3 linked regions of the Oreochromis niloticus genome follow. The protein of the gene in region 3 interacts with the protein of the main gene of each other region in a pairwise test. Links are inferred from orthologs where the notes say so. Each region holds a gene or a part of one and is shown on either strand. Other genes may lie near its edges. The genes, in order: calcium-responsive transactivator, ubiquitin-conjugating enzyme E2 variant 1 and fam168a.

The links.
Region 1: the proteins of fam168a (region 3) and calcium-responsive transactivator interact in binary tests that used the Homo sapiens proteins (3 or more experiments, as listed by UniProt). The two-hybrid records come from large-scale screens. The link is inferred for Oreochromis niloticus from reciprocal best matches to the Homo sapiens genes FAM168A and SS18L1.
Region 2: the proteins of fam168a (region 3) and ubiquitin-conjugating enzyme E2 variant 1 interact in binary tests that used the Homo sapiens proteins (3 or more experiments, as listed by UniProt). The two-hybrid records come from large-scale screens. The link is inferred for Oreochromis niloticus from reciprocal best matches to the Homo sapiens genes FAM168A and UBE2V1.

What each region holds. Positions count from the first base shown.
Region 1 is NC_031984.2:13,588,846-13,596,662, reverse strand, and holds the start of calcium-responsive transactivator, read right to left. Parts: upstream 3,028-7,817; 5' UTR 2,533-3,027; coding exon 2,464-2,532; intron 2,429-2,463; exon of another isoform or gene 2,320-2,428; intron 1,746-2,319; coding exon 1,669-1,745; intron 1,576-1,668; coding exon 1,491-1,575; intron 1,301-1,490; coding exon 1,168-1,300; intron 732-1,167; coding exon 483-731; intron 1-482. Other genes in the region: lsm14b (protein LSM14 homolog B), read right to left, coding at 3,837-3,960, 4,046-4,175, 4,603-4,764, 4,868-4,951, 5,135-5,365, 5,469-5,598, 5,691-5,854, 6,036-6,153; transcription initiation factor TFIID subunit 4, read left to right, coding at 6,924-7,191, 7,355-7,817. UniProt on the Homo sapiens protein: Transcriptional activator which is required for calcium-dependent dendritic growth and branching in cortical neurons. Recruits CREB-binding protein (CREBBP) to nuclear bodies.
Region 2 is NC_031984.2:9,991,358-9,999,077, reverse strand, and holds the start of ubiquitin-conjugating enzyme E2 variant 1, read left to right. Parts: upstream 1-4,719; 5' UTR 4,720-4,826; coding exon 4,827-4,848; intron 4,849-5,839; coding exon 5,840-5,988; intron 5,989-6,940; coding exon 6,941-7,066; intron 7,067-7,720. UniProt on the Homo sapiens protein: Has no ubiquitin ligase activity on its own. The UBE2V1-UBE2N heterodimer catalyzes the synthesis of non-canonical poly-ubiquitin chains that are linked through Lys-63.
Region 3 is NC_031979.2:18,114,548-18,121,614, reverse strand, and holds the start of fam168a (protein FAM168A), read right to left. Parts: upstream 3,071-7,067; 5' UTR 2,831-3,070; intron 1-2,830. Other genes in the region: kbtbd3 (kelch repeat and BTB domain-containing protein 3), read left to right, coding at 4,641-4,921, 5,032-5,197, 6,117-6,299, 6,735-6,908, 7,012-7,067.

The sequences.
Region 1 (7,817 bases), on a different chromosome or scaffold from region 3:
GTGTAAACAAAGCCAGCAAAGTCAGCGCATTAACAGAAGTACGATAAATACACATGGACATCCAAGGAAAGTAGGGGTGCATCTCAGAAATTAGGAGAAACCTGAAGCAAAGGGAAGAAGGAAGGAGGCAGGACACCTCAGTGATGAACTGAATGTGTTTCGTATTTGTCTGTTACACAGGAGGAAAGTTTAAGATATGCATGCAGGCATATTTTTTATGCAAGCTCGAAAGGGGCACAGCTTCAGAGGTCATCATCCAACTGTTTTACTGATGTACCATGTACAGTATTTCACCCTGAAAACTTGAAAAGATTATTATCATCATTCCAATCCTCTAAATGCCAAATCTTGCATAATACACATAAACAAGTAAAAAACAAGTATGCCATCTTGCATCTCGAGAGGTGGTAACTCCTGACTATCAGATCATGATGGTTTAGAGACCAATTCTTGATGACTGGGTTTTACGATACCTGGCTCACCTTGGTTGGAATGCATGTTGAGGTTGCTGCGGGAGGAGGAAGAAGAGGATGAGGATGTGGAGGAAGAAGAGGAGGAAGAGCCATAACCAGGCCCAGGGCCCTGGATCATACTGCCCTGGGAGGAGGGTGCAGCGTGGCTGTACCCAGGGACCGAGCTGCCATAGCTGCTTGCTGGCAGGCTGAGGGAGGTGGAGGGAATAGCCGACTGCACCTGACCAGACTGCTGCTGCATGGGGGCATGGCTGGGGCCTGACAACACACACGCACAGTCAGAGCAGCCACCACACATTCCCCTGTGGTGCCATATCATGTTAACCACGGCCCCACATTCAGTTCATCTTCACAGGAGACGTGCATGGTTGAACAAAGCTAGAGTAACGCATGTTAAGGATGTGTGTATAGTTTTTTCACAAAAAGAGGGAATATAGTAACATAACTGTGAAACAATCTGACTCATTGGCTGAACTTAAAACCACAGATACATGAAGGCAATGAAGCAATAAAGAAGTGCGGGCACTGTGGCAGACAAGACATGGTACTGTGTCTGCAGACAAACATGCAGCTAAGTCAGAATGAGACGAGCAAGCAAGACACTGGACAGACAACAAAATCGGGAGGCATCTTTGGGCTGAAATAAGTGATTCAGGGCTTATCTGTAAAACACAGGTATGCAATTAACTCTCACCATTACTCATTTGGCTCTGCATCATTGATGTCGCGGGCAGTGCTGGTCCCATGTTGTCATTGAGGTTGCTTTGAGCATGTCCCCCACTCTGGCCCATCCCTCCAGGACCCAAAGACATACTGGAAGTGGGAGGCTAAAGGTGTACAGACGTAATATTTAAGTAGTGGCAGTCATAAATAAATACTGATATGCAGTTCATTTTTTTCACACTGTATTTATATGCATCTATTTTCTGTTTTCCTTTAATGTTCTATTTTCCCAGTGGACACAGTGTATACTTATATTTGATAGTTGCTATTACTGAAGTCACAAATCAGACTTACCGCAGGTAGTAATGACTGCATGTTCTGATTTGAATCAGCTATTGTGGCCAAGTAAACAAGATTTCTGTGCAGGATCTGCTGATACCTGGAGGAAGAAGAAGAAGAAAACCAGTCTTAATTGTGCTATACTTTGATATTTAGCAGGTACCGGTCAGGGAGGAAAGAAAAAAACACTTACTGTGTGCATTCAGCTGTCTTGCCTTTGCTTTGGTAATCCATTATGCATTGTATTAAATGATGATTTTCATCCAGCATCTTTGGAAAATAATAAAACAACTTCATTCCACTGTATCTGAAGTCCTATAAGTGTATAGTAAATTATTAACTAACAAATACTTTATTAAAACAGTGATGTGCTTGATTCTCAGAACTTTATCCAGCCCTTGAATGTTTTTTTTCTGGGTCACCTTTCTCATCTTCTTTTTATATAACAGAGCCAAAAGAAGAACTCATTTTTCACTGTCTTTATTTAGGACGCCGTTTGAAAGTCTGGCTTTCAAGGATAGGGTTTACGTTTTACTTTCGCGCTAAACGGTTCAATCAAGGATAAAAGCGGTGCCCTAGGACATATACTGTAACACCTGCCTTCACTTTTAACCTATAGCCTAATTAATTAAACACCAGGGCAGAGCTGTTGCTTTGAGAATTCTTGTTAACCATCTTGCGACGAAATATAAAGCGGATTTCCAATTTCTCACACTAAAATATTCCCATTCGTCTCATAATATCTGCGAGGATGACAGACAGCATCACCAAGAAAGCAGAGATCCAGCCGGCGTTAAGCCGAGCGCTCGTCTACATCACCGCGATGGCTTTGTTTGGTTCGCACCTTCAATTGACTGTAACGTTGCAATACCAGTTGCCATTTCTTTGATATTCACCACTGGCTACTTTCTCTGCACTGGAGGGGGATCACATACTCCCATGCTAGAAGATCTAAATAGAAATGTCGCGACGTTTTAGGATTTTTTACCTTTTGAATGGTTTGCTGTGTCACCTCCCCTTTACTTCTGGGGCGCGCCGATGAAAACGCCACCGACATTTTGTCATATGGGAAATAAAAGAGCCGCTTTTATTCTAATATTTATTATCTCGAGCGCAGCCTTCTATTTGGTTACATAGTTTCTCCATTACCAGGAATAGGGGTACTGACCAAACCAGAGCCATGTCGTGAAAGATGCAAAATTAGAAAACACTTGACTTATCTGGATGGCATTAAACAGAGGATTTCCCTTAAGCGAATATTTATGATCTGCGTGCAAATAATTACATGCATATAAAAGGATACGATGGTAAGGGAAAAATCCCTCTCCCTCAGATTTTGGTATAGTCCAGGCAGTGAGTAGCCTACCACTTTCCCTCACTGTAGACGGGGTATCGTTTGATTCAAGAAAGCAGTCTGCTTGGATCAGCTGTAGCCAAAGTTGCTTTTAGCATTTCAGGAAATGTGGAAATCCCACCATTCACATTTTTACAACAGCACTGAATCAGGGAATGTGTAATCTTGTAATTCAGTGAGACATTTACTAATTTTTTTTTTTTTTTGCCAGTTTATATAATCTAATCTTGAATATATTGCTAACGTTGTTTAAAGGAGTGCTCCTTAAAAGGACAAAGAAACAGCCATAGAACACAGATACTATCCCAGATTATTTATAATTCGGAAGAATTTTTTAAATGCTTACTTGTGCAACAAAATGTCTTTTAGTCTCATAACAGGTGTATCAGCACATCCATTTTATTTACATTCAACTCATTCCCTTGAATATACCAAATTAAGTCTTAAGTCTGAAACCTTGTTTAGTTCATTATATTAATACTATGCAACATTGAATGGACAAATCTGATTAATACTCCAAAAAGGCAAATGCAAGAATTTACAAATCTGCAAGTAGCAAACCAAAGTAGAAACTGAAGCATTCATGTTTTTCCCCCCTTTTAAACAAAAAAAGCCTCTTGTAGTAACTTTTACCCACATTAAAAACAAGGTCAAATGTCAAAGAAATAATGTTAAACTTTTTAATGACAGACATTTTGGCTGGTTACAGCACAGCTGTAATAATGATGGTTTAGTTCCATCACGTATACCAGTAAACAGACTGCAAACCAACATGCACAGCATAGCGCCTCTTCCAAATGCAATACAGCCTTCATTATTGCCCTTGTGATTTCTTCACTGTGCTAAAACTCAAAAGGTCTGTCAAGAAAAAAGGGGGCAAGATTCTTACAGGGGATCCAGTACTTTCCACTCACTGTAAGAAACAGGGTACTAAATCATTCAAGGTGGCTTTACTCTGCCTTTGTATGAAACTGATCTGTACAGCCGCCCAGTTGTGTTTCTTTGAGTTAGACTCTGGCAGCACCTCGTCCTCTTCTGGCATATCCACCTCTGAATCCTTGGCCCCTCAGGAAACGCCCAGGGACACCAAAAGTCTCCAGATTGCGCTTTCGCTCCTCTGCCCATGTCAGTCTGAAACCATTGATGTAAATAAATAGCCATGAGCACATATCTGCACAAAGACCATCTTTTATATAAGATGGAGTCAGCTGATTACCTGAGCCCATTATCAGATGAGATGTTGTCAAAGAAAGACTTTGCTTTGTCATAGTAGCACTTTGGTGCTAAACAATCCTCCCCTGAAGTCAGCTGCAACCCTTCTGTTTCCGTTCCTTCAGAATTCCCATCTGAAAACAGAAAAAAGTACTGACAGTGGAAGGACAGACTCAGTCCATCTTAAGAAGCCAATTCCCAGAGATTGAAAATATTTATTTATTTATTTATTTATATGCCAGAGAGAAACATGACGTTAGAAGCCTTATTTTACCTGAATGCAAATTTACTTCTATTCAAACTTAAAGCTGTGGTGACAAAAATTAAAGTAATTCAAACAGGGTTACATGAGAGCGCAACTTCCATGAAAATGCCATCATAACTGCTCTGTCTCTCACATAATCTACTACATGAAATCCATAGGGACTCAAGTTTTTCTACCAACAACATTAATAATGCATACCTTTAAAGTGACAGCATTCCTTCAAAGAGAATTAACTGACAAAGCGGGTGATTTCAAAAAAAAAAGTGCATTAGTGGCAACTTCAGCTGATAACCAACCTCTTAGAGTCAGCCTCTCCTGGACCTTCTCCTCAAGCTCCTCCTTAATGAATTGTGCGTTTGAGGAATCAAAATCAAAGTCTGTGTCAAATTTAAGGGTGGGAGATGGAGCATTAGCCACCATCAGCTGGCCTCTTCTGCGGTTCCTGCGCCGTCGAGGCCCTAAGATTATTATTTATTTTTTATTAAGTGCACCTCAAGTTTGTTTTGTATACAAGGATGTCCTTTCTGATTTTCAAGTCTACTGGAAACTTGTGTTTAATACCTTGTCTTTTTCTAGCAGGTGGCCTGGTTTCAGCATTTTGCTGCTGACTGTCCTGAGAAGTGGATCCACTTGGGTCTGATTGCACTGCAAAGACACCCACAACAGCTACACTTAGTTTTAAGTGTATGTAGATGCCCAGACAAATACCTCATTATTTCCCCCAAAACATACATACTCCTCCACAGTTAATCAACCTGTTTCACTTAGGGAAACATCACAATAGTTTAACAGCATTTCCTTCTCATCACTGCAGCATTGTGTACTTACTGGTGGCTCCAGTGACCCTTGTGGTTTGAATATTTGTTCCTCTCGTCCACTTAGGCTGCCTCCTATTCCTCTGCTGCTGTTGCTGCTGCTGCCCTTGTTCTTCTTGTTGCTGCTCCTGCTGCTGGGATGCACTTGCACCTCTCCTCTGCCTAAATGTCCTTACACTGACGGTTTGAACAGCCTTTTCCACCATGGGACCTCTTTGAGCATGTAAGCCTTGAAGTAAAGGCCCTGGGTGAAGGATACAAAGTGTGTAGTATAGAAAGAACCCAATTAAAATTTGGGGTTTTTTTTAGTCAGTTGACTTGTTAGAAACTTGTTGTCATTGATTTACCAAGGCCAAGAGCTGCAACATACTGCTGATTAAGCAGAGAGCTAGCAGCAAGCTGGTTGTAGGCAGGCATCCTTAAGGGGCTGAGTGATCCAACAGTAGATTGGATGCTTGAAGAGCCTGAACTGGAGGTCTGGATGAACCAAAGATGTTAATGTTTAAACACACATATACATACTTAGTCTGTTTTTAGAAGGAGGGTGGAACCAGGCAGTTTTTGTACACCTGTATTATCGCAGGATCTTGAGGCAGGCCATGGTGATACCTTGGAGGTTCACCCAGTGTAATATCCTTAATATCACTTCCCCGGAAAGTAATGTACTCATAGACATCATCTTTGGGTGACGTTGGCCTATCTGTTGGCCTTCCCTCAGTTCCAAAACACTTGACTTGTGAAAAGAAAAACGTTGGATAAAGTCAGGAAAGTTCCACCCATATTTCACTTGTCCAGTTTCTTTCTAAGATTAAATGACAATAACTAGAAAAGGAGAAGAAATTTAAAAAGCAAGTTTTTGTTCGTTTTTGAAATGCTGACAGATTTTCAAGAACACTGAGCGCTAAATAACTCACCTTCTGCCAAAACTACTGTGCTGTTCGCTGCATCAATTGTATACAAAATCCCTTCATAACGATTTTGGGCTTTTGAGAGGAGTGATACTTTACAGCCAATGTATGGCTTCGAAGCCATGGCTCGAGAATATCCGGGGCCGTTGCTATAAACTTCTATACAGACTCATCACACGGCACATTTCGAGTCCTAGAGAAACCGGAAACAATTTATAGGCGTATACAGCTGACTTGATTGAAGCACCTGGCAATCATTGATGGCAATAAGATGAATGCCAATCACCACGGCTTGATTTAACTCACTTGAGACCCATTCTTTTGATATTTTGCGTAATCTTTGATTTGTTATGAATTCGATCAATAATTATGATTGTGCTTATGGTACATATTTTTTTCATAAAAACATTTTTAGATAATCTTTATAAGTTGCAACAAAAATCACAGTCATGGCGTTAAAAGGCTGAGTCCTGTGATGCACAAACAACCGTGCAAACTGGCTGCCTAAGTGCTGATCTGCACTCTCAAAAGTTTACTATCCAGGTAGTTTCACATCACTACTGTCTGTGAGCACTAGGCGGTTACTGCGGGTGTCCTGGAAAAATAGCATCAACGCAGCCATTTTGGATTGTTCAGAAAGTATGATAGTGTAATGTAAACATCTGTGAAATCATGTGATAGCGCATGAGAACTATCTGACAGTTTCCCCGGTGTGCTAATGCTCCACAAGGCACAGCTCCGTGAGCGGTGTCGCTTATTTCCAGCGAAATAGTCCGACTGCGGTGGCACTGTACACTGCAGCTCGCAACCATTTGTTCCAGGCTTTATTTTTGTCGAACAGCCAATCATGAGGCGAGGTAAGGTCGCGTCACGGAGGATGCATCCAATCGGCGCATGCGTCTCACGAACGAGCGTAGCTGGGAAAAGATGGCGGCGGGCTCCGATTTGCTGGGTGATGTTTTCTTGAGTACAGAGGTGGACGAAAAAGTAGTTAGTGACCTAGTTGGATCCCTGGAGTCTGAACTAACAGAAACAAGGTGCGATAACACAACCGCTAGGGCCCCGTCTGCAGAAAATCACGGCGGAAACTCAGCTGTAGGTAGTAGTTTAAATGTTCAGGGTAGCAAAATGGGACTTTCACAACAAGAGCTTGCTAAGGCAGGTAAGATAGCTGCGCACTCCGGTTAGCTAACGTTAGCTAATTTTGGTCACGTTACTCAGCTTGTTATAGCTTATTTGGCTTCACTTGTCTGTGTCCCGAAACTAAAGCGAATCGGAGAGTTGCTCGACACTCCCCTTGTTTTCATGTGTTTCCGCTGCTGCAGGGACAGGAGCGCAAGGAGGTGTCAGTAACAGTACGGGGTCCCTGGGTTCAAGCATGGATGGGGCAGCAGGGATCACATCGACCGCAGGACCGAGTGTGACAGCCACTCAGAGTCAGTCCAAGTCGGACGCAGCCAGCGGAGTGGTTACGGTTACACTAGATGCAACAGCTGGCGCTGGCAAACCTGGAGGGACCGGTGCGCAAACTCTGAATGGAAGTGCCGTGGTGATGAACTGTCAAATAACCGCAGGCGGACCCGCTGACAGCAACAACTCGCAGCCCGGTGCTGTCACACTCCTCAACAACGGACCTGTTTCTGTGAGCAAACCGAGCGCAGCAGGTCTGCCTGGAACACCTAGTACTATTATCCGAGCTACTTTGAACGCGCAAAATGTTGTGACTTCGTCTGTTATCTCGTCCCAGCCTTCTGTGAAAACTGTTCCCACAGTCACACTGGTGAGGCC
Region 2 (7,720 bases), on a different chromosome or scaffold from region 3:
TTTCAGAAATAAAAGTCATATACATCGGATTTTTTTTTTTTTTTTTATCCAGAGTAGTCACATTATCGTAGATGCTTTCTGGGATCTATGGTTACCATAAATCAGTACAGTTAACTTGGCCACTTGTTATTGAGGTAGAATTTGTGATCGAGCTGTATTTGGATTTTCCGCTTAGAGACAGTGAACTTTCAGTGGATTTGAACGGTGTTTTGCGACAGTATGTGGTCAATTAAGTATTTTTTTTTCACACCTGAAAAATTTAGTGAGAGCAAATGAAGATGTTAGTAAGTGAGATGGGCAGTTAGAATCTCTCCTCGGACTTTATTGAATCGCCTTATCCTCTTGCCAACAATGTGGGAAAAGAGTTTATTGACTGACTTTAAATTGCTCTTCATTTGACTCTTGCTTCTTCTGAGGTAAGGTCCATGTGGATGTTGTTGTTGTTGTTGGTTATGTACACCGGTGGTGGGGATGGAGTTCTAGATATCAGATTAATGCCTTGATGCCTTTTTGTTGTCTTCCAGTTGGAGGACTTACAGTGTAAATAATATACTGTATTTATAAATAAACTAATAAACATATTTCTGTGTTTCTCTTTCTTTCTGTTATCATCATTATTATTATCATTATTATTATTATTATTATTAAAAAGTGTATAATTTAATCTGTTTTAGGAATTTAGGTGACGATTTCACAGGGTACACAGAACACCACCTTCTCATACATAATTCTATTTTTTTTAACCTTGTGATGAAATTTTAAAAAGCTAATTTGCATATACAAGTTTTAATTTGAATTATATTAGCAAATCTTTTTGCAATTTATTCTTTAAAATGTATAGTGCAATTTATTTAGTTTTTTACATGGGGAAAAAAATCACACCGATGATATAGAAGTCTCTAAAACTCGCAAAAACTCACATATCAAACATGATACACTTTAGCATTAAAGGGTAAAATAACCTGCTTGATTGTGTTTATATTTGCCTAAGTAAAGACTTTTTCACCATAGCTTTTTGCAGAAAAGGTACAGTAATCGCCAGCATCTGATGGTCTTCTGCTGCTACTACAGGTACTTGTGTCAGTGGTTAAAACATCCACTATGAAAAGCGTATTAATAATTAATGACCCTGTCTGTACCCGGAGCCTGGCCCTCGACACATTTACTGCTAATCGATGTGCTTCTCACAGATGCAGCTGTCATGTTACATTCCAGGCTTCTGTTTATTCCAAATAAAACAAACACTTTAAATTTACTTATTCAGTTAATCCTGTTCAAGCAGAACAGACAAATTATTCCGCACTCAGTTCGACTACACCATATTGAGGAGAATCCACAATAACAAAAGCATTCAGCAGTCATTTCATTAGGGACACCTGTTCTGCTGCTTGTTAATGCAAATATTAACCAATCACATGGTACAAAGACAAATCTATTTAAGTGTGTAGACATGTGCTGAAGTTCAAACCAAGCACCAAAATGGAAAAGAAAGGTGATTTAAATGCTGATGCCTGATGGGCTGAGTATTTCAGAAACTGCTGATCTACTGGGATTTTCCTGCACAACCATCTCGAGAGGTCACGGAGAACCATCTGAAAAAGAGAGAATATCTTTGCAGAGCTGCAATTCTCTGTGTGAAAATGCCCTGTTATCTCAGAGGTTAGAGGAGAGTGGCCAGACTGCTTTGAGCTGGTAGGAAACTAAGTCAAACAACCGCTTTATACAACCAACGCACAACACGTCAAACTTTGAAGCAGAAACTACTCCAGGTGCCACTACTGTCAGTTAAGATCAGGAAACTGTGGCTACAGTTCACACAGACTCACCAAAACTGGAAAACAGAAGAATGGAAAAAGAATGTGCCTGATCTAGTGTCTTGATTTCCTGCTGTCACATTCAAATGGCAGGGTCAGAATTTGGTAGAAACAGCTTTCAAGCATGAAAGCATGGATCCATTCTGCCTTGTCTCAACACTTCAGACTTGTGATGTTTATGTAATGGTGTGACGAATATTTTCTTGGTACCCTTTGGACCCTTTAGAGCCAAATTGGCATCTTTAAAATACCACAGTCTGCCTCATTATTGTTGCTAACCATGTCCTTCCCTTCATGACCACATTGTATCCATCATCTCATGTTGGTTTTCCAGCAGTATAAAGCACAAAGCTCACAATATCTCAAACTGGTTTCTAGAAAATGACAATGAGTTCACTGTTCTCAAATGGCTTCCACAGACACCAGATCTCACAGAGAGTACCTTTGGGATGTGGTGGAACATCATGGATATTGTTTGATATCCCAATTCTTTGATCTTTGGGCTGAAGGAAGAACAACACTCGGTGTATAAATGCTCAACCAACAATCTCTCGCACTAAGCATTCACATTCTTTCTCTCTTACAGCGCCTAAGTGACGACCTTGGCTTCCTGTTTTATCTCCTGATGAGATGGGGCAGAAAACCTCTACAATATGTTCTGTTCTCTTTGTAATCAGAAAAGGAAAGCCATGATTCGACACAAACAGCATTTCTTATAACTCAGCAGTATAATGCATCATAAAACAGTGTAATGATTTCACAGTCTTTAATCCAAGGCATAATGTGGCCTATAGCCGTATAATGATTCAACAGTTCTTTGATTAGAAGTGTAAGGTGGCATAAAACAGTATAATAATCTCACAATATGCAGCCAACAAACCTACAGCAACTGTGTGATGCTGTCATGTCAGTTAGGCTGGGTTAATTGATGACAGGGTACACTCTGGACAGGTCGCCAGTGTATCGCAGAGCTAACACAGAGAGACAGACAACCATTCACACTCACACCTATGGACAATTTAGAATCATCAGTTAACCCAGCTGCATTCAGACTCCACACAGACAGGCTGCTGTGGAGTCAAACTCAGGACCTTCTTGCTGTGAGGTAACAGTGCTAACCACTGCGCTGCCCTATGAATACTTGTGATCAATAAATGATCAAAAGGGGGGGATGTGATGACACTGGACAGCTGCTGTACTCTGTACTGTTTTCTGAGAACTTTGCCAAGGCAAATTAAGATCTCACAGAGATAACTTGTTTTATTTCAGATTTTCGTAACAGCTGATACTGACATAACAGCGTCACACAGTTGCTGTAGGTTTGTTGGCTGCATATCCATGATGTTCCACCACATCCCAAAGGTACTCTCTGTGAGATCTGGTGTCTGTTGAAGCCATTTGAGAACAGTGAACTCACTGTCATGTTCAAGAAACCAGTTTGAGATATTGTGAGCTTTGTGCTTTATACTGCTGGAAAACCGACATCAGATGATAGGTACAATGTGGTCAAAAAGGGAAGGACATGGTTAGCAACAATAATGAGGCAGACTGTGGTATTTTAAAGATGCTCATTTGGCTCTAAAGGGTCCAAAGGGTACCAAGAAAATATTCGTCACACCATTACATAAACATCACAAGTCTGAAGTGTTGAGACAAGGCCGAATGGATCCATGCTTTCATGCTTGAAAGCCGTTTCTACCAAATTCTGACCCTGCCATTTGAATGTGACAGCAGGAAATCAAGACACTAGATCAGGCAAATTCTTTTTCCATTCTTCTGTTTTCTAGTTTTGGTGAGCCCGTGTGAATTGTAGCCACAGTTTCCTGTTCTTAGCTGACAGGAGTGGCACCTGGAGTATTTTCTGCTTCAAAGTTTGACGTGTTGTGGGTTGGTTGTATCAAGCGGTTGTTTGACTTAGTTTCCTATCAGCTCAAAGCAACCTGGCCATTCTCCTCTAACCTCTGACATCACAGGGCGTTTTCACACAGAGAAATACTGTTTCTGAGTCAAGAACATCTCTTCCTTTAATTTGCAAGCTTAGGTCAACCTTTTGACACTGGACTCCACAGCTTACTTGCTATGTAATAAGCCTGCAGTCAGTCAGTGAATGACCTAATCAAACTTGGCATGCTTTAATCTATCCTTGCTAATTAAGGGTTTCATTCTTTAATCTCTCACAGCAATCTTTTTCTTCTAATATATTGACGCTCCCCCATCTTTGTTATTTTAATTGTGTTTAATTGTGGCCTTAGCCTTCAGAAATACCTTAATTTTTCATTCCCCATGGAGCTGAGGGTGCTGTAAAATGGTTTCACATCAGTAGATGTAGATGCACATGCATGATACCTATACCTACCCTACCTACCTAAAAGTAGATGCACATGCTGATGAATGACCAGAGGCCCATCCTCCTCCTCAGTCTTGCTGGATTTCCACAATTTCTGCAGAAGCACAAAACTCGGACCTAAATTACATGTATACTGATTTATCATGCAATGTGAATAGAACTAGGAGAGAATTACATGCTACATTTGAAGAAAGATGATTGAAAGATATACCGTAAAGACAAAATTCTGGACAAATACTCGTGCCTTTAGAACTGGCTGATTTAAAAACCCCTGGAGCAAAAGGGCAGTTAATAATATCTCTCTTTAATGAAATGACTATTAAAATAAGCACAACATTTTTTGATGCTCTGACAGAATTAAATCATTTAATATAGTGACCTGCCTTGGAAAGTATGCCAGGTTAGATTATCTGTAAATTAATCTGCTACTCTGACGACAACAACAACAACAACAACAACAATAATAATAACAACAACAACAACAGCAATACTACTACTACTACTACTACTACTAATAATAATAACAGTTCCGTTTTATACAGCCACATAGCTAATCAGTTTGCTTAAAGCAACAAAGGAAGCGCCGTTGCTGTCTTCTTGCTCGCGCACGCACCGCTGGCTACAATGGTAAAAGTGCGTGCTCGCTCCCGCTGTGTAGCGACAAGATGGCGGTCGCCGCCGGATCAGGTAAAACGGTTGAGACGTATTAATCACTGCGAAAAGCTATTTTTGAACAGTGTTGTCAATGAATTTTTACCGCGTGCCTGTTAGGTTTTATGATTAGATTGATTCTGCATTCAGACGCTGTGCTATGTTGTGTTATTACATAGAAGCTAAAACAAAGCTGAGGAGAATGAATAGGAAGCGATGCTAGTAGCTAAGCTATCTTAAGTTAGATAAAAGGACAGCAGGTCTCACTTCAGTGCTGTTTTATGGGCGTGGAGCCGTTACTCGCCAGCCATCAGCAAATATGAGACATTGCAACTTGTTTATGTATTTGTGTATTCATTTATACATTTTAATTTTAATAGTTTAATTTAGGATGCTGCTTAAATTACAGCATCCTGTTGTCAAACCACAGCACCGCCACCCCACCGGATAATGACAGCCTGTTTGCGACATCAGATTATTTACAGGCGCGATGTGTTGCAAACCGGGTGTGTAGCGTTACTTAAATGTCATCAAGAAATGCGGGTGCATCCCGCAGTAAGACGGTCTTCCTGCCCGGCTGTTAAACGTAAACAGTGACTGTACGTTTTCCGAGAGCTCATGAGGGAAACATGACCTGCGCTGAGCTTCACTGAGCTTCTCTGGAGACGCCGGTGAGCTGAGCTGAATTGCTGCAGCAGCTGGCAGTGTGACTGGGTTTGTTTGGATGGCTCTCTTAAGGGTGCAGCCTCGTCGTATCTTACTGCGGAGGCCAAGTGATGCGGCACCGCCGGAGCCAGATGCTCAAGTCTCACAGGACGTGAAAATAACACCTGCTCTTATCAAAAGGCTCACGCAGGCTGCAAAGCTGAGGCGTCCCTTATTTTTTTTCGGTCTTATTGAGTCATAACTTCATAACTGCAAGTCATTTTGTCTGGCACACTGCTGGCAGTTTTATTTAGCTTCATAAATCTACCTGTGGCTCTGGAAGTTTGCATGACTGAATGGCTGTGTGTTTGCCCACAAACAGGCGTTAAAGTTCCTCGCAATTTCCGGCTCCTGGAAGAGCTGGAGGAAGGTCAGAAAGGTGTGGGAGATGGAACGGTGAGCTGGGGCTTGGAGGATGATGAGGACATGACCTTAACACGATGGAGAGGGGTGATCCTTGGCCCCCCAAGGGTTAGTGGTGCCATTTTTAACACCTGGATGAGTACTTTGCAGGAGCAGGGGAGTGTTGACCAAGCCAAAAGATTAACAGTTACTTAAACCAAAGGTGTCAGGTTTGATTTGTGCATCGCATGATGTCGGGGAGCAAGTCAGGTCGTCCACTTGAAGAAGAGGAAAACATCGAGGCACTAACACTACTTTGCAATCCTTCGAATGATTGTTTTTGAATTAAAACAGAATAAATGTGAAGCAGAAGCACAATTAAACTCCTGACTAAAGACCAATTATCGCACAAGTTTGCAGCATAATGTTGTTTTTAATTGTTGACAGATGTCCCAGTATCTTTTTAGTTAGTTTGTAATTATAGGTATTTATAAATACTTTAAAAATTGCTCAGTGCTAAGCTGTAAAGTTGAAATGACCTATATGAGACTGTTATTTAAAAATGTTGTTTTTAAATTAATGACTGCAGTCCTTTGAGGACCTCTTTCACAGGACCATGGACATTACCGTATGTCAGACTGCAGCTGGGTCAGCCAGTTTGTCTTCCTCTACAGTGTATTCATTTACTGTGCGACTGGGTAAAACTGCAGCAGTGCTGTCACAGTTACAGCCTGTATGCAGGGAGCATAAAAAAATTTTGGCATACCACCAAATGTTTTGGCCAGAGCCAAAAATTGTAATAAAATTAGCAGTTATGTTAATTCTAGCAGACATTTTTGTTGATTAGATTAAAGCAAAAGGCACAGATTTGTGTAAAAACAAGGTACCGCAGACTCTTTAAACTCTCCCCAGGGCCTTTGTGAGTCAGGAGAAAAAAACCCTACAAGGGTATTTCCTGCCTTAGTTTTCACATGATGTTGTTGCACATAGTGAACATTGTGTACCAATTTTTTTTTTTTTTTGTTCTTCAAAGTTTGGTGTGCTGTCTTCTCACCTCTCCCTACCTTTCTTTGTTTAACAGACAAGCTATGAAAACAGGATGTACAATCTGAAGGTTGAATGCGGGCCAGGATACCCAGAATCACCACCTTTTGTCAGATTTGTGACAAAGATAAACTTGAATGGCGTGCACACCTCCAACGGTGTGGTATGTGAATTATTTATCATTATTTTTAAAATGATTGGCTCATTTTGGATGCACTCTGTGGAAGGAGCATCATATCTGCTCTGTGGAGTCAGATAAACAACTGATCAACTAGCTTAAACTGGCCTATCACTGATATGTCAGGATATATGATGTTTCTTATCATCTTATTGTTTAATACTCTCACTTACTGTTAGAATATTGGCTGAAATATCAATATAAGATTTTATTTACTCCTTAAAAGTCCCAAATGGTCGAGCTCTGCAGTTCTGTCTGGTTATGAGTTCATATCATCATGTTTAGAAGACGGCCATTGTATCCATGGAACAAGAGAATAATAGATGATTTACATTATGTACATCTAGATCTTTATTCAGATGTTTTAGGTTTTTCCAAGAGTTTTTTTTTTTTTTTTAAGATCTCAAAAAATTGGTAATGTGGGATCTTTCTTCCTAACTTACATGAGCACCATGCAAGTTAGGAAAAAAGATGAGGGCCAGTTCAGCCTTCATTCTTATTTAAAAACCCACTTTAAGACTTTTTTTTTTCACTTTTAATGCTGTATAATCTCCGAAAGAGGTGATTATTGTCTAATATGGTCATCTCAGGCACACTGCTCTACCTGTAAACACCCACTTGCTACTCAAACCTTTTATT
Region 3 (7,067 bases):
TTCCACAAATCTTCTCTGTGGTCTAGTTAAGGCATTACTTAATAAAACAAAAAATAATTTTCAATGCTTAATCACTATTTCATGTGGATTTCATGAAGGTATGACCTACGACTGGTTTGCAAGTCTATTTTAAGTGCAGCTTAATTGCTTTGACTGATAGTTAATCAGGAATAAAATAGTGGCCAATTTGTCTGATAATGCTGTAATAACCAATGTTACTTTTCAGGGAAAAGCTCAAAAGCTCCCTTTTTCTCAGTTTTGTTGCCATCTTTGATTAATATTATTGTCAGTTAGACATCTTTTGATTTTAGACTGTTTGGCAAAACACTGGGACACATTTATTATAATTTTCCAATGTAAATTTTATCCAAATGAACAACTGAAGAAATAAATAACCCCACTTGATTGATTCCTATACAACAGAAATATTCAGAGTCCCCGAAATGCAGTTGAATGAACCTTCATGTACAGCAACCATCTTTTTAAGACTGTCCAACCATTGAAATGTTTACATCTGCTAACCTCTAAAAGAACAGTAGCATTACTGGAGGTCAAGTTGAGGGACCGTGAGCTGGACGAGGCACAGGAAATGAAGGTGACTCTGGAAGCTGCCGTCTTTCAGTGCTTCATTCGCTGATCTGTGATGAGCAAATCATTAAGTGGTTCAAACCACACAGGAATGAAGTGTTGGAAAGCTCTGTTACAGAAACGCTGTCTGTCGTAACATTAAGTGACTCCCGCTTTCAACAGTCTGACGGTTTTATGGCTGCATTGTACAGCCTGCCATTCATATACATGAGCCTGCGCCCCACACATGCCAAAAGCCACACGACATCCACCGTCTTCCTCCAGCGAGGTAGACAGATGAATCAACTTTAGCATATAGCAACAACACTACTTCTCATCTTGTGGGAAAAAAAACCCAAACGTAGTATTTTCTGACTAGAGCTCCCAAAGAGAACCACTGACCTTTAAGTTAATATACTTTCATCTGGTGGATGCAGTTCTAGTGGATGCCTGTTGATTTATTTAGAGTCACAAAAATAAAGTCAGCCTTTAACAAAGACTTCCTTGTTTGTATATTAATAAGATTTATGCTGCCCCCCCTATCACAAAGGGAAGTATTTCTAGATGTCATAATTACAAACAGGACGAAAGTATCACCTATTAGAATGACTTAGAGTCACTGAATGTCTATCATCCACGGAGCAGTGTGCGTCTTCCAGTCTCGATCGTAGACTATTATTTTAAATGTACATAGTTTGCTTACACAGTAATGCTCTGGTGAAGCCAACAACAGTAGCATCTCACAAATCCCTTTAGACAGATAAGGCTTCTTGAATTAAATGGGATTAGTAGTCAGTGACTAAAGCAAGTAATCCCCCCCCCACCTACAAAAAAGGGAAAAAGAGATGATGGCAAAGAGGATTCACTTCACTGATAAGACTAGTCAAAAAGGAGGAGAATAAATAAATAAATAAATAAATAAATAAATAAATAATCACCTCTAACATTTGGAATAATTCTATCTGATTGGCACTATTTAAGCACAAATCTTGTAGTATATGCATTACAAACAAAGGAGGTTTTATCAGGTTTTTAAAAAAGGGCCTTTTTTTAACTTCTGCCACTGCTCTTTGCATTAGGCATGAATAAATAATCCAGCTTGCATATGTTACCCTGAGTAGTGCACTTGGAACTGGCATGTTCACTGGTTTCCTATACTGTATACAACAAAAAGCAATTAGATTTAAATAAAATGGAGATGAATAAGTAATGACAACGTGCATAAGTTGCAGTGGATATCTCTGCACAGCAGCTAAGGCCTAGTGTAAGTGACATTCAGATAAAGTACACCTTTGTTATGAGCCCAGGCAGGAGTTGATGGGCACTGACATAGTTAGCCACTTTAATCCAGTGTGCAAATATTTGCATATGCGGAGTAAACCTTTTCTACCCATTTTGACCTTTCCTACTTCTCTCATTCGTCTCCTTCCCCTAGATTTAGCTCCAAACTCTTGACAAATTTAACTCCAGAAACAGTCATTTTCTCCACGGTGGCGACTGCAGCCTGGAGGCGTTTGTATTTACCCCTCACTTCAGTGGTTAATATGTAGTTATATCAGTCAGAGTGTGGCATGCACTGGCAGTGCACTGCATACCAGAGATAGCAAGCAAAGCCAAAACAGCGATGGTTGGACAAAAATGGTCACACTCAAACAAGCTTAAGACACCATTTTGAAAATCCACCGATTTCTAGATAACCACTCCGAGATGCCATCTTGCCAATTATCACTAGATTAGCCACCGTTAGCATGGCGATCCATCCATTCCGAAACACTCCGTGCAGGAATCTGCACGGGTCACATAATACTAACGTTAGCTTAGCTTGTGTGCTAGCCTGAAAAGCCAGCCGCTAACCCGCCGTAGCATCCCTGCATCCCTCGGCACACGCTGCCCCCCTTTAAAAAAACGCTAATTAGCAAGTTAGCTGGGGCAAAATTAGCAGATGACAATGAAAACCACTCGCAGCAGGTCAGACCCGCAACACACTAGGACAGCTGCTAACCTTACTGCCTGGCGGACGACAAATAAAGTAAAAAAACAAAACAACAAAAAACCCTGACACATGCTCCAAGTAGTATCACTTTAACTCCGCTGTTTAAGCTAGCCGCTTTAGCTTAGCCCGCTAGTTCCCCACCGTAGCCACCACGGAGGACAATTAAAGGGATACGGAGGGAAAAAAAGACAGGAAAAAAAAACCCGAACAAGCATTAAGAAAACACATGGACATTCCTCCTCTTCGTGATAAACAGCATAAAAGACTTACCAAAGCTACTCGGTCGACCACGGAATGGGAAAAAAACAGAAAGATTCCCCGAATGTGTACGTGCTCTCTCCCGTGTGAGTGTGCTGCCTCGGGTCGGTGCGGACTGGCTCTGCTACAGCAGCGTTTTGTCGGGCCAGTGGCGCTGGGAAGACAGCTTTCACCCGGAGAGACGGCCACAGTGTGGGGGATGGGGATGCACTGCCGGGAGGGAAGGGAGGGAGGGATGCAGGGATGCAAGAGAGAGAGGAGGGGGCCAGACCCACCATAATATAAACTGGAGAGGCTCTGATAATAGCCCGATAATATGTACACCGATTTAGAGCAGTCTCGTAAAAACTGAAATCAGTAAATGGCGTTAGTATGTGCTGCCCGTTTACTCTGATTTTACTCCAGTTTCTCAACAATGGGACGGTCTCTGACTTTTATAGGATGGTCTGTTGCATGACGATGAAGGAGGATAAAGCATATAGAGTATAATGACTGCATTTTATCCATGATTAAGCCCAGGTTTTGTGTAGTAATAGCATAATAATAATGATAATAGTAATAATGATAATAATCTTCAGAATAAGAAGAATTTAATTGTGTCCACAAAAGCTCTTATACTGTAATCATGTTTTTCAGGCGTTTTCAAGAGTGTGTTTTTATGTCACTGTGGTGGTGAGACGTTGTTCTGAGAAACCGTCCTACTTTGACTAATCATCCTACCCGTGTTATAATTTGACGGCGACTTGTGACTAATACAAACCCTATCCCTAACCATAACCCTACCTATAACCATAAGAAATATTCACAATGGGTTAAAAAAAACGATGTAAATTTGGGGTTTGTGTTACGCGCATGCGCAGCGTATGCTCATAAACAACGGGTAGGATGGTTTGTGAGGTAGGATAGACCGCTTTAAGTTCACGTTCACGAGTTCAGATTCAAAGGCTGTTGTCCTATGCGTCGCCATAATAATTTCTCTGCAGCACGGCAGTGTCACCCAGTGGTGAGAAATATTACTGCATCAACAGAGTCAATGAGAAGCAGACAGGAGTAAAGTTCTGCCAGTGTTCCCTGTGACTTGATATGTTTGAGATATATTTTCATTTGCAACAGAGTAAGCACGCATGGTTAACTAAGCAAGCTAACCTGTATAATTCCTGAACCTTAACTGTTCTAAACTTGCAACTTGCCAGAGAACACGCGCCAGAAATAACCGACCAATAGAGGAGAACTACAGTTCCCAGCGGCCATTGCGCCTTCTTCTGCTATAAAGAAAGAGTACACATGAAAATAAATGAGGGGGATGTAAAAGAGACACGGGCATTATTCTTCTTAGGAAAAAACGCGAATTCAGCCAACAAGATGACAGAAAGAAGACAATTAAACGCGAAAAACAAAAAGTCGAGCGAAACCTCGCGTGATTTCAGGCTTCCGGAAACTAGAATAGCATGAGAGCTCTCCGTGGTGCTGACACTGTCGTGAGTATTACTTGTCCTGCCTCAGACTCACTAGCTGCATATTTCACGCATTTTATGCTCATATATTTTTGACTTTTAACGTCTAGACATCATCTCAGGTAGTGTCTAATGTGCTTATCTTGAATGCAGTAATCGTGTCAGACACTCAGTGTGCCAGACACAATGATACTACTGCATGTCTGAATGGTAGAGAAGCCTGGACTGTGTGTTACAGATCTGTTCATGTAAAGTAGTTTGTTGCATTCTTGTATCTCTTATTCCCTCTGTGTGTGTCTCTCTCAGAGACTCACTCCATTACTATAAATTGCATCATTTTTATATTCTTTTTTTCAGATTTTGGCATAATGGATGAAAATCAAGACTTGTCCTTGTGTTTGACCAACACCCACAACCCCTGCAGCAGCAACAGCCCACCCAGCAGTAGACCTGGCAGTGCTCCACAATGCAACGGGGTCGCAGAGCGTCGGACAATGCTGCGGGTGTCTGAGTCCCATGGACTGCAGCTCCTGGGCATGCTCAGATCGCTCCGGGAGAGAGGCTTGCTGTTTGATTTCACTATTAAGGTGCAGGAACGCAGCTTTCCCTGTCATCGCTGTGTTCTTGCAGCATGTAGTGATTTTTTCAGGTATCTATCTATCTATCTATCTATCTATCTATCTATCTATCTATCTATCTATCTATCTATCTATCTATCTCTTTTTCTTTAATGAATTCTCTCATGTCTCTTGTGTTTAGGGCCATGTTTGAGGTGGATATGCGAGAGCGTGATGATGGTTCAGTAACACTGGGTAATCAGTGTCCAGCAGTAGTGGCTTCTTTCCTGGACTTTGCCTATTCTGGGGAGGTACTCATCACTGAGGGCAACGTAGACATGTTGTTTCAGCTCGCCTCTTTTCTTCAGGTAGAAATGCACCTGCTTCATCTTCCTATTTACCCTTAAACACGTTCATTTTTTCATGGCTTCATGGGATACTGCAGTAAATCATTAATGTTATTATTAAAAGTTATTGTACCAGTCTGTCGTGGTGAAGAGAGAGCTGAGTAATTACTGAAAGAGTACGATCATGAATACAAGCGGCCAAAATGAGCTTCCTCAGCACGGTGGCTGTGCTCAGCATTACAGATAGGGTAACGAGTTCAGACATCTGGAGTGGAGCCACTGCTCCTGCATTTCAAAAGGAGTTGAGATGGTTTGAGCATGTGGTTAGGGTGCCTCCTAATCGGGCATTAGAGGCGCCTCACCGGGAAGAGACCTCAAGGTAGACCCAGAACCTGCTGGAGAGATTATATTTGTCACCTGGCTAGGCAGCACCTTGGGATCCCACAGGAGAAAACTGAGAAGATCAGGAGAAGGATGTCTAGAATGCCCTTTTACCTCTTTCCCCCGTAAAGATGACACTTGACTACCTCTCCTGTACCCTTAAAAGACAAGTTTTGACACCTCAGTATATATCAATAAAGATGTGGTTTGATGACGATTAAGATAGTTTGAACATTTTGTTCTTTAAGCACGCCTGAAATGTAACAGAAATTGCTCAGTTCGTAAAGAGCTTCAAATCTTACTCCTATTAGGGGTATAGAGTTAAAGACCGAACACTTAAAATGAAAATCTATAGTTTTGACAGTCTATCAGTTACGCACTTATCTTTTTGTTGCCAGGTTAATTTCAGTTATGGATTCTGTAGAGATCAGCGTTGCATTTGTTGCGTTTATGCCAATTTCTGAAACCCTACACTTATAAGTGTTTCTTGACCCATCACTGAGGTCTTTAATGTCATTTTAACGTGAAAATTTCCCTGCTCTTGCTGTTGTGCTCTCAGGTGTCTGTCCTGTCCAAAGCATGCAGCGACTTCCTGATAGGAACCATGGATCTTTATAATTGTCTGTCTCTCTTGTCTCTGGCTGAGGGATACGGCTCAGCCTCTCTCCTGCAAAGTGCCAACGAGTTTGTGGTCCAGAACTTCTTTGAACTCTCCAAAACGCAGGACTTCCTGGATATGCAGGTGAAACCCAATCTTGCACCTAAATATTGTGTCTATGCAGAGAAAGGCTAGAGGCTGATCAGAGTCTCTGTTATCATTTATTCTCTATATCCGGTTGCTACACACTTTATTATGTCTGACTTAAGAAAAAGTTAAGGCTCAAAGCACCAATGATGTTGGATTTTTTGCATATTTGGTGGGATTTCTCATCATTTTTATAACAGCTCTGAAATCCATTAAACTCAAAAAAATATCAAACTCTTATTGTTTTATGATGTATCCGAAAACCAAGTTTATTCTGATTAACAAGCCCAATAGTTAAGCTAACTGTTCCTCTGCAACATTTTATACACAATATATTGTCATTAAATCTGCTCTTATATCAGTAACAAAACATTTTTCTTGTTTCATGTTTTTAAGCTGACAAATACATCACGTTAAAAAAAATCTCTTCAGGTTGATGTCTTGGAGCTGTGCCTCAGGTCAGATGCTCTAAACGTGCCCAGTGAGGAGGCAGTGGTGGTGTCTCTCCTTAGATGGATTCGTCATGATCTCCCAGGAAGACAGAAGCTGTTGCCGGGATTGTTGTCTCTGACCCGGCTGCACCATCTTCCTGCACCTGCACTAAAGGTACAACCAAACCTTTACCTGCACGGGGTTTAAAGACTTTATGCAGTTTGCAGATTTGTGATCGCATCACCTTTCCTGTGTTGACTCTTACATTCTCTCTTAGTCTCTGTGTGATTCTGACCCTCTCCTCTGCAACGATGAGTCCTGTCTCGCCCTTGC